Callithrix jacchus: one gene and its partner. The protein of the gene in region 1 purifies or fractionates together with the protein of each later gene. This does not show direct contact. Links are inferred from orthologs where the notes say so. Each region holds a gene or a part of one and is shown on either strand. Other genes may lie near its edges.

The links.
Region 2: the proteins of PPP2R5D (region 1) and PPP2CB purify together in Homo sapiens (affinity purification with mass spectrometry; 8 studies listed by BioGRID and IntAct, counting the BioPlex papers as one, with this or other methods). This does not show direct contact. The link is inferred for Callithrix jacchus from reciprocal best matches to the Homo sapiens genes PPP2R5D and PPP2CB.

Annotation. Positions count from the first base shown.
Region 1 is NC_133505.1:51,474,265-51,478,673, forward strand, and holds the start of PPP2R5D (serine/threonine-protein phosphatase 2A 56 kDa regulatory subunit delta isoform), read left to right. Parts: upstream 1-1,466; 5' UTR 1,467-1,555; coding exon 1,556-1,582; intron 1,583-4,409. UniProt on the Homo sapiens protein: The B regulatory subunit might modulate substrate selectivity and catalytic activity, and might also direct the localization of the catalytic enzyme to a particular subcellular compartment.
Region 2 is NC_133514.1:31,977,996-31,982,335, reverse strand, and holds the start of PPP2CB (serine/threonine-protein phosphatase 2A catalytic subunit beta isoform), read left to right. Parts: upstream 1-1,460; 5' UTR 1,461-1,874; coding exon 1,875-1,976; intron 1,977-4,340.

The DNA of each region.
Region 1 (4,409 bases):
GCTGAGTAGCTGGGATTACAGGCATGTGCCACCACACCAGGTTAATTTTGTATTTTTAGAGATGGGGTTTCTCCATGCTGGTCAGGCTGGTCTCGAACCCCTGACCTCAGGTGATCCGCCTGCCTCAGCCTCCCAAAGTGCTGGGACTACAGGTGTGAGGCACCACACCCGGCCTAATTTTTATATGTATGTATGCATTTATTTATTTATTGAGCCAGAGTCTCACTCTATTGCCCAGGCTGGAGTGCAATGGTGCGATCTTGGCCCAATGCAGCCTCTGCCTCCTGGGTTTAAGCAATTCTCTTGCCTCAGCCTCCCGAGTTTCTGGGACTACAGGTGGGTGCCACCATGCCTGGCTAATTTTTGTATTTTTAGTAAAGACGGGTTTCACTGCGTTAGCCAGGGTGGTCTCAATTTCCTGACCTCGTGATCTGCTGACCTTGGCCTCCCAAAGTGCTGGGATTGCAGGCATGAGCCACCGCGCCTGGCCAATTTTTTAATTTTTAATAAGAGGTGGGGTTTTCGCCATGTTGGCCAGGCTGGTCTCGAACTTCTGACCTCAGGTGATCCGCGTGCCTCAGCCTCTCAAAATGCTGGGATTACAGTCACCGTGCCTGCCTGGCTTACATTCTATCTTAATCCTGTTTATACACGTCTGTGATTCACCAGCCTTCGAACTCCTTGTGAATATGAACAGAGTCTTAACCATTAGAGCATTGGCTTGGGCAGGGTGGCAAGTAAGGGATGGATTTCCTGAGACACTCAACAATTTAAGTTGCTTTTCCACTGCGTTCCCAACTGCTCAAACCTACCTTGTTCTCCAATTCCAGTACACTTGCAGTAGGAACGGGGACCCTCTTCATAAAGTTGCACCAAACCAGAGATTTTCATCTCATTTCGCCCAGGTCCTAGCCCTGCCAGGCTTTCCCTTTGCTCCTCTGCAACTCCTGTCTAGGGAGGCGGGTGTCTTGGAAGGTCCTTGGGAGCTTCCGCCACCAATTTTGCATCTGCAATTAGGGCTACTTTACCCCAGTGAAGAAAGGTGCCCTCCGTATTAGGGCTTCCTTCCTCCACTTCGAACTGGGCAGGGTAGCAGAGTGAACAAAGTGTGAAAGCCACTTTAGAAGGAAAGAGCAGAGCTCCCAGCCCCGCAAAGAATGGCCGAGGACGACGCACAGCGGACGCTGAAGTGCAGCACTCCTAGCCAAGCTTGGGTTTTCCCTTAGCCCCGCCTCCTTCGCTAAGCTCGACCCACTTTAGGGCGGGACCACCCACTTCAGCCAATTCTGATAGCAGAACCCTGGCGGTTTGTACTATTTCTTTCCAATGAGAAAAAAAAGGAAGCAGCTTGGCTCCAATGACCAATCCGAGGAGGCGGCGCCTGGTTGTCAGGCAGTTTTGTAGGAGTTCGGGCCAATTGGAGGCGCAGGCACCGCTCGACCCGGGCGCAGCGCGCAGGCGGTGGCGAAGAGACGCCGAACGGGCCGAGTGCGGCCGAGGCAAGCCGGAGCCGGAGCGGGGCCGCAGGAGACGGGCCGGGTCCGGACGGGCCGAGATGCCCTATAAACTGAAAAAGGAGAAGGTGAGCGTGGCCCTTTTTCCCGCACCGCCGCCTTGGAGCCTGCGCGGAGCTCTGGGAGGGGCCAGAGCCAGGCCCGGGACAGCCCCAGACTGACCCTCCCGTCCGGCCCCCGCAGGACTCCTGGGGCCAGCCCTCCGCCCCCGCGGCTGGCAGCACCCCCAGCTTGTGCCGCGGCTAGGACAGCTCCCCATCCTTGCCCCGGAGAGACTCCCCCCACATACGCCTTCCTCCCTTCTTCCCTGCTCTTACCCCCGGCCCAGGGTAACCTCCTTCTTCCAGATTCGCCCCATTCTCAGGTCACTGTCCTGCTTTTTCTGTCCCCCCATCACCCCTGGCCCCGATCTCCCATCGGTTTAGGCAGCCCCTCATCTGAAACTGCACCTCCTTCCAGAATTGCCCCCTCCCCCCGCCCTGAACAGCCCCTTTCCTCCTCTTCCTACCCGCCTGGGACAGCCGCCCCACAGTCCCCTACGGCCCCTTCTCTTTCCATGCCAAGCCCCTGACCTAGAACAGCGCTGCTTTCTCTCTCCTCCACCCAAATCTGGCCTTGGCCCCTCCCTCTAGTTCTTCCTTCACACACAAACTTGTAAGCAGGACTGAGCCCTTATGTTGATGGAACCTCAGAACATCAGTGCTGGAAGGGACCTCTGAGCGCATGCAGTGCAATCCCTAATGGTACAGATGAGGAGACTGAGGTGCCGACAGGGCAAGGGACTTGTCCAAGGTCACACAGCCTGCTAGAGGCCCAGCTGCAATATCGGGTCTCCTGACTTAAAGGCCTCTTTTCTATCAAAGCCCTCCTAACTGGCTCCAGGTACATCCTAGACCAGTCACCTTTCCTAATCTGAGTAGGCTCTTCCCCTTATTCCTAATCCTAGGATAACCTTTGCATTCTTCCTTTTTATTTTTTTGCACCAGTGCTGGATTTCTGCCTTTCCTGAGCTGCACCATCTTCAAATTGGGAATTTGTCCTCCCCGTCAGATTATTATTCCTTCTTAGCCTGCAGGCCAGCTACCCCTGGACACCCATGTCTTTGGTCTTTGTCATGATGTCCTGACACAGGCCATTTCTTTTTCTTTCTTTTTTTTTTTTTTGAGACAGAGTTTTGCTCTTGTTGCCCAGGGTGGAGTGCAACGGCATGATCTCGGCTCACTGCAACCTCCGCCTCCCCAGTTCAAGCAATTCTCCTGCCTCAGCCTCCTGAGTAGCTAGGACTACAGGCGTGTGCCACCATGCCTGGCTAATTTTGTATTTTTAGTAGAGATGGAGTTTCTCCATGTTGGTCAGGCTGGTCTTGAACTCCCGACCTCAGGTGATCTGCCTGCCTCGGCCTCCCAAAGTGCTGGGATTACAGAGGGTAGCCCCCAGCCCTGGCCCACAGGCCATTTCTTAATGGTGCCTTCTTTCACCTTTCTCTTCTACCTCGGTGCCGCCTTCCCCTGTTCCTCATCTGTGCCTTTTTCTACCCTCTGTTTCCTGCTGTTGCTGAGGTCTGACTCAGAGGTGTGGTTCCTTTGAGGTACAGTCTCACAGAGGATGCTAGGATACCAGGTCCAGCCTCCCCCAGCTTCTCCTCTCCTGGGGCTGGCCCTTTATGGTGGGGGCTGGCTCTAGTCTCATGTTCTGGCCTCTTGCTTGATGACCCCAGAGGTATATTCATTTGCCCTCTGATTGACTGGGTTACTGGGCTGCCATCTATGACCTTTTCAAACTTTTTCTTCCAGGGCTGTTCTGTATTTGCCAGGCAGCTCTGATTCTGGGTTGTCCCCTTAACCTTTCAGGGCCTGAGGCACTGAGTACAGGGTTGGTGATGGTGTGCTAGATGGTGAACCTCCTAGGGGTAGTGAGCTGGATAGGGTTGTGTGTCCCACCCAGGCCCTGTCCTTGGGGAGTGGGCATGCAGAGATGGTTTGGGTAGCTTAATTGTAGACAATGCACACACAAATCAGCCACACCAGGGGCTAAGGGAAATGGAATCCAGGGAAAGCTGGTGAGGTCCCCACCCATTTGTAGTTTTTAGTCTGATGGACTATATACTGTCCCATCCACAGAAAACTTTAGCCTACTAGATTGTGAAGAAGAAAACAAATTCCCAGTTAGACTTGTTAGGACCAGGAGTGTAAGCGTTCGGTTGGGAAAGGGTGTTGGAAGGATCAGGGTGCATGGAGCCAGGCATCACTCTCACCTCCCTATAAGGTTTTTCTGCTCTTGATTTTCAGCTGCATTTGGACTTCTTCAGTGGTTGGCAAGCTCTGGGGGGTGGGGGGTTGACAGTGTGACTGAGGTTTGCCTGGATGGGGGTGGGTGGATGATCTTTATTCCTCATCTATCACCTGTCCCCTCTCTCCTGGCCATCTTTTACAGCTTTTTCCCTAAAGTCTTTCTGAGCTGTCAGTCAGGAGTGAGCTCTCCCTTCTCTTCTGGATTTGCAGAACACTTAGTAGGCCACTTATGGTCCTTTTGTGTTTGGCCTTGGATGGGAATTAATTGTGGACAAGCCTTTTCTTCCCTTGAGATAATAACTAAGCTTCGTTTTGGTTTAGCAACTCCTTTTCACACAGTAGGTGCTTAGCGGATAGGTGCTGAGCTAATCTCTTTGAGGAATTCGCATCTCCCCCTTCCTTCTTGTTTTCCTCTGGTACTTAGCTCTTTTATTTTCTTCAGTAGGGTGTCCCTGACTCCTCCGACTTTTTTCTTGTTCATAATAATAGTAATAGCATTGACCAGCATCAGGATTTTCATGTGCCTTAACACTGTGCTGAGGGAAGAGGGTACTGTGATTGTCATCGTCTAATAAATGAGGAAACTGAGGCTCAGAGAGGCTAG
Region 2 (4,340 bases), on another chromosome or scaffold:
CATTGGGACTTGCAGTGAGAGAAAGTGAGGCATTTATTGCATTGCACCAAGCAAGAAGAATCAGGCAGCTCATGCTGAAGACCGCAATTCCCTGATGGTTTACAGGTAAGGGGGTTTTCCGAGTGTTTCCTTTTTTTTTTTTTTCACTCTTGTCACCAGGTTGGAGTGCAATAGTGAGATCTTGGCTCATGGGGCAACCTCTGCCTTCCAGTATCAAGTGATTCTTCTGCCTCAACCTCCCGAGTAGCTGGGATTATTACAGGTGCCCGCTACCATGCCTGGCTAATTTTCGTATTTTTAGTAGAAACGGGTTTCACCATGTTGGCCAGGCTGGTCTTGAACTCCTGATCTCAGATGATCCACTCACCTCAGCCTCCCAAAGTGCTGGGATTATAGGCGTGAGCCATTGTGCCCAGCCCAGGTAAGGGTTTTTAAAGGCAGGGAGGCAGAGGTTACAGGCAAAGTCATAAATCAATACATGGAGACTATACATGAATTTGATCTAAAAAGCCAAGATATCTGAAGCAGGGACCCACAGGTCATAGATGGATTCAAAGATTTTATGATTTGCAACTGGTTAAGGAGGCAAAGCTTTGTGAATTTTTCCAGGCTCCTCAGTAAGAAATTTAGAACAAAGATAGATAGTTTGAAGTCTCCATGCCAGTGGACAGCACTTTCCATTTGGTGAGGGTCCAGGTTTCTAAAAAACAACTCAGGGACATCGTCCTCTTTAGTTTCTTTAAGGAACCAAACATTTTGTGAATCTAACGTCCTTGGTTACTGCCTTAAGCTTTTATTACCTTCTTGCTTATCAGGTTGCTCATTGACTTCTCGAGGAAGTTAGGTGCCGGGAATGTCCCTTGAGAGAACTCAAGATTTTCCTTTCCATACTTGGGGAGGGGGGTGCCTAGCTGGCCCCTAAGAAGGGGTCCCTCCTCTGTCTCAATAAATATTTGTTGAATGAACAAATCATTAACCTCAGTACATATTGCAGAAAACGCAGTCAAGAACGCTAGAGCTGGAAGGGCCACAGATTATCCTACAGAACAACCATTTCACTTTTCTAATGTTGAAGGGAAGGATTCGAGATGTTAGGACTACAGACCCGGCTGTAAATAATCAATTATTTACTCCATCAATATTGAATGCCTGCTATTGAGTGCTAGACTCTGGGGGGAACAATGTTAAGGGGAGCCCAAGTTTTCCAATTCCCTGTCCAGAGCACTGAAAAAGTACTGCAGGAAGCTAAAGTGAGGACAAAGTTCCCAGAGATCAGTCTATCTGAAGGGAGAACCAGCAGAGCTTGGTCTGGGGCAGGGTTGAGAAAGGAGGAGGGACCCCGGCCTCCTCAGACCGTTTCTCCGCCAGGCCAAGCGAGGGCGCTGTTCTGCTCCTAGTGCGCCGTGGGCGGGCGGTGCCGCCTGCTCGCCTTTTCCCGGCGGAAATGCCCGAGCGATGACGGAAACCTGGAGGGAGGGGAGAGAAAGAGCGAGAGAAGGGGAAAGATAGCCTGTAGAGGCCGGCGGGTGTGAGGTGGCGGCGGACGGCCTTCGTCCAGCGGGAGTTGGCCGAGAACCCGCGGCGCGCTCCCCGGCACCTCCCCGCGTCCTTCACCTATTCGCGCGGCGCGCGGCCAGGCGAGAAAGGGCGGGCGGGGGTCTCCTCCAGGCCGCGCGCTCGGAACCGCCTTCTGGGCTTGGGCGGGGCGCGGGGCCCGCGGCCGCCCTCCCTAGCTCTGTCTTCCCCCAGTGGGATCTGGCGGCGGCGGCGGAGGGAGAGGGGAGCGGCGCCCGGGCCGGGGCCGGGGGCGGGTGGGGTGGGGGGAGGGCGGCTGCGGGGCAGGGGCTCGGGATCCGCATCGGGATCGGGCCGCCATGGACGACAAGGCGTTCACCAAGGAGCTGGACCAGTGGGTCGAGCAGCTGAACGAGTGTAAGCAGCTGAACGAGAACCAAGTGCGGACGCTGTGCGAGAAGGTGAGGGCGCCGCGGGGGCGAGTGCGGGAGTGCGAGAGCGCGGGGCTGGGATGGGCCGCGGCCGCCGCTTTCCTTCCTGCACGTCCCAGGCCCGTCCGCTCCCGGCCCGGCTTGGCCCACCGGGGGCCTGCGGGGTTGCAGCCCCGGCCTCCATTCGGGCGGCGGGCCCGGCCGGTCAGGGACCGGAGCGTTGGACTGCCCTCGCCCGGCGCCTCTGCCTCGGCGCTGACACGCCCCACGCCCGCGGCCGGCGGCCCAGATCCCGGGCGTGGGGGCTCGGGTGTGGACGGAAAGGGAAACGCGCCCCCCGGAGTCGAGCCTGAGGTTGGTCAGGTTGCCTGCGCTCCCCTGGGGAGTTCCTGCCACTCCAGCATGTCCCGAGTGGGCTACCGAGAGCGGCGTCCGAAAAGGAGCAATGCTGTCTCTGAAAATGCACCTAAAATTAACCAGAATGTCGTACCTACTAATGAACTTGTTAATTAATGTAGAATTTTTGTCAGGCGAACGAGGCACCTCAAAAATCACTCACAAGTGCTGTGACTCACGCCTGTGGTCACAGCTACTCGGGAGGCTAATGCGGGAGGATTGCTTGAGCCCAAGAGTTAAGAGACCAACCTGGTCAACATAGTGAGGCCCTGTCTCCACAAAAAAAAAAATAAAAAATAAATTAGTGGGGCATGGTGGCGGGTGCCAGTAATCCCAGCTATTCGTGAGGTTGAGGCCGGAGGTTCGCTTGAATCCAGGAGGTGGAGGCTGCAGTTAGCTGAAGTCGCGCCACTGTACTCCAGCCTGAGCGACAGAGCAAGACCCTGTCTCCGAAAAAAGAAAAAAAAAAAAATTACTGGCTCTTTAATGTGTCAAGCGTTTGTTTGTGGAGAGGTAGGCGTGATGGCCAGCTGCGATTTTTAAAATAGAGGTTGACTTTGGTGGAAACAGATGGTGACTGGTCTTTGCCTTCACTCGCTCTTGGAAGTAAAGCATTGATTTTCCTAAACGAGAGCGGGTCTTGAGTTTGGGAACCGTGTTTGCTGGAAATGAGGTGGGGTGTGCGTTTTCACGCATGATAGCACTTTTCAGACAATTATTCTCCATTTTAATATAAAGTTTTTTCTTTTCCGAAGAATAACGCCTGCAGGTGGTCAATTCTTTCTTGTACATCGTTCATGAGTTTGTAAAGTGATCTTCACTTTATAAATACTATATTCCTTGTTGTCTTAACCCCTGGAATCATTTCCATCTCTCCATCTTTAAAGTCTAATTTTCCACATTTATCCTTTATAAGATGGACTAAATATTTTTCATGTTAAAAATTCCCACTTGAAGTCCATGAAGTAACGAGGTTATTTATTTTTAACATAATCTGTACTTTTTTTTTTTTAACCATAACGCTTAGAAATCATGATATTGCAGAAATACACAAGAAAAGGACAATTTTTTGTTAGTCTTATTTTAGGACATTCTTAAAATCATGAAATTTACTTAGAAAAGAAGCACTAATAGTGTTAAGTTAAAATAGTGTTTTTAACGGGTATAATGTTGCCTGAGACCTTTATGTATTAAGTAACTATTGGTTAACACCGAAGAATTTATTTTTGTAAATAGAAGTGCCAAGCAAGTGGTATTTTTCTTTTTCTGAAACAAACTGCTTACTTGTGGCTTCAGTAAACATTCATTTTATTGTGTCTTAAAATTTATACTTTAAATATCTTTCTCAAGCTCTAATGTGAAGTGAATTGTACAGGTTTGAAATGAGCTGAGTCAGTTAACCTTGCTATGAACATCAGAATGCAGACTTGAAGTTATGGGCAAAGTGTTATTTGAATCTGTTTTTCCCATTGACTTTCTTTTTTTGTTGTTTTGTTTTTGAGACAGAATGTCACTCTCTCACCCAGGTTGGAGTGTAGTGGTGCCATCTCTGCTCACTGCAGCTTCCGTCTCCTGAGTTCAAGGAATCCTCCTGCCTCAGCCTCCCGAGTAGCTGGGATTAGAGGTGCCCACCACCATGCGCTGATTTTAGTAGAGATGGGGTTTCGCCATGTTGACCAGGCTAGTCTGGAACTCCTGGCCCCAAGTGATCCGCCCACCTCAGTCCCTCAAAGTGCTAGGATTACAGGCGTGAACCCTGTGCAGAGCCCCCATTGACTTTCTAATAATTTTAAGATGAACTCCTAGAGAAGAATATTGTACCACTACTATACCTTGAAATAATCACACCAGAGTGTCAATCACTTGTGAAACTTTCTGTATTTGTCAAAAGAGATTTTTTTTTCCTTCGGCTTCTAAATAAATCAGACTAACAGTTCCTAGGACTTTATAGGTATATTTAAGATTGTCTCGGCCAGGCGCAGTGGCTCACACCTGTAA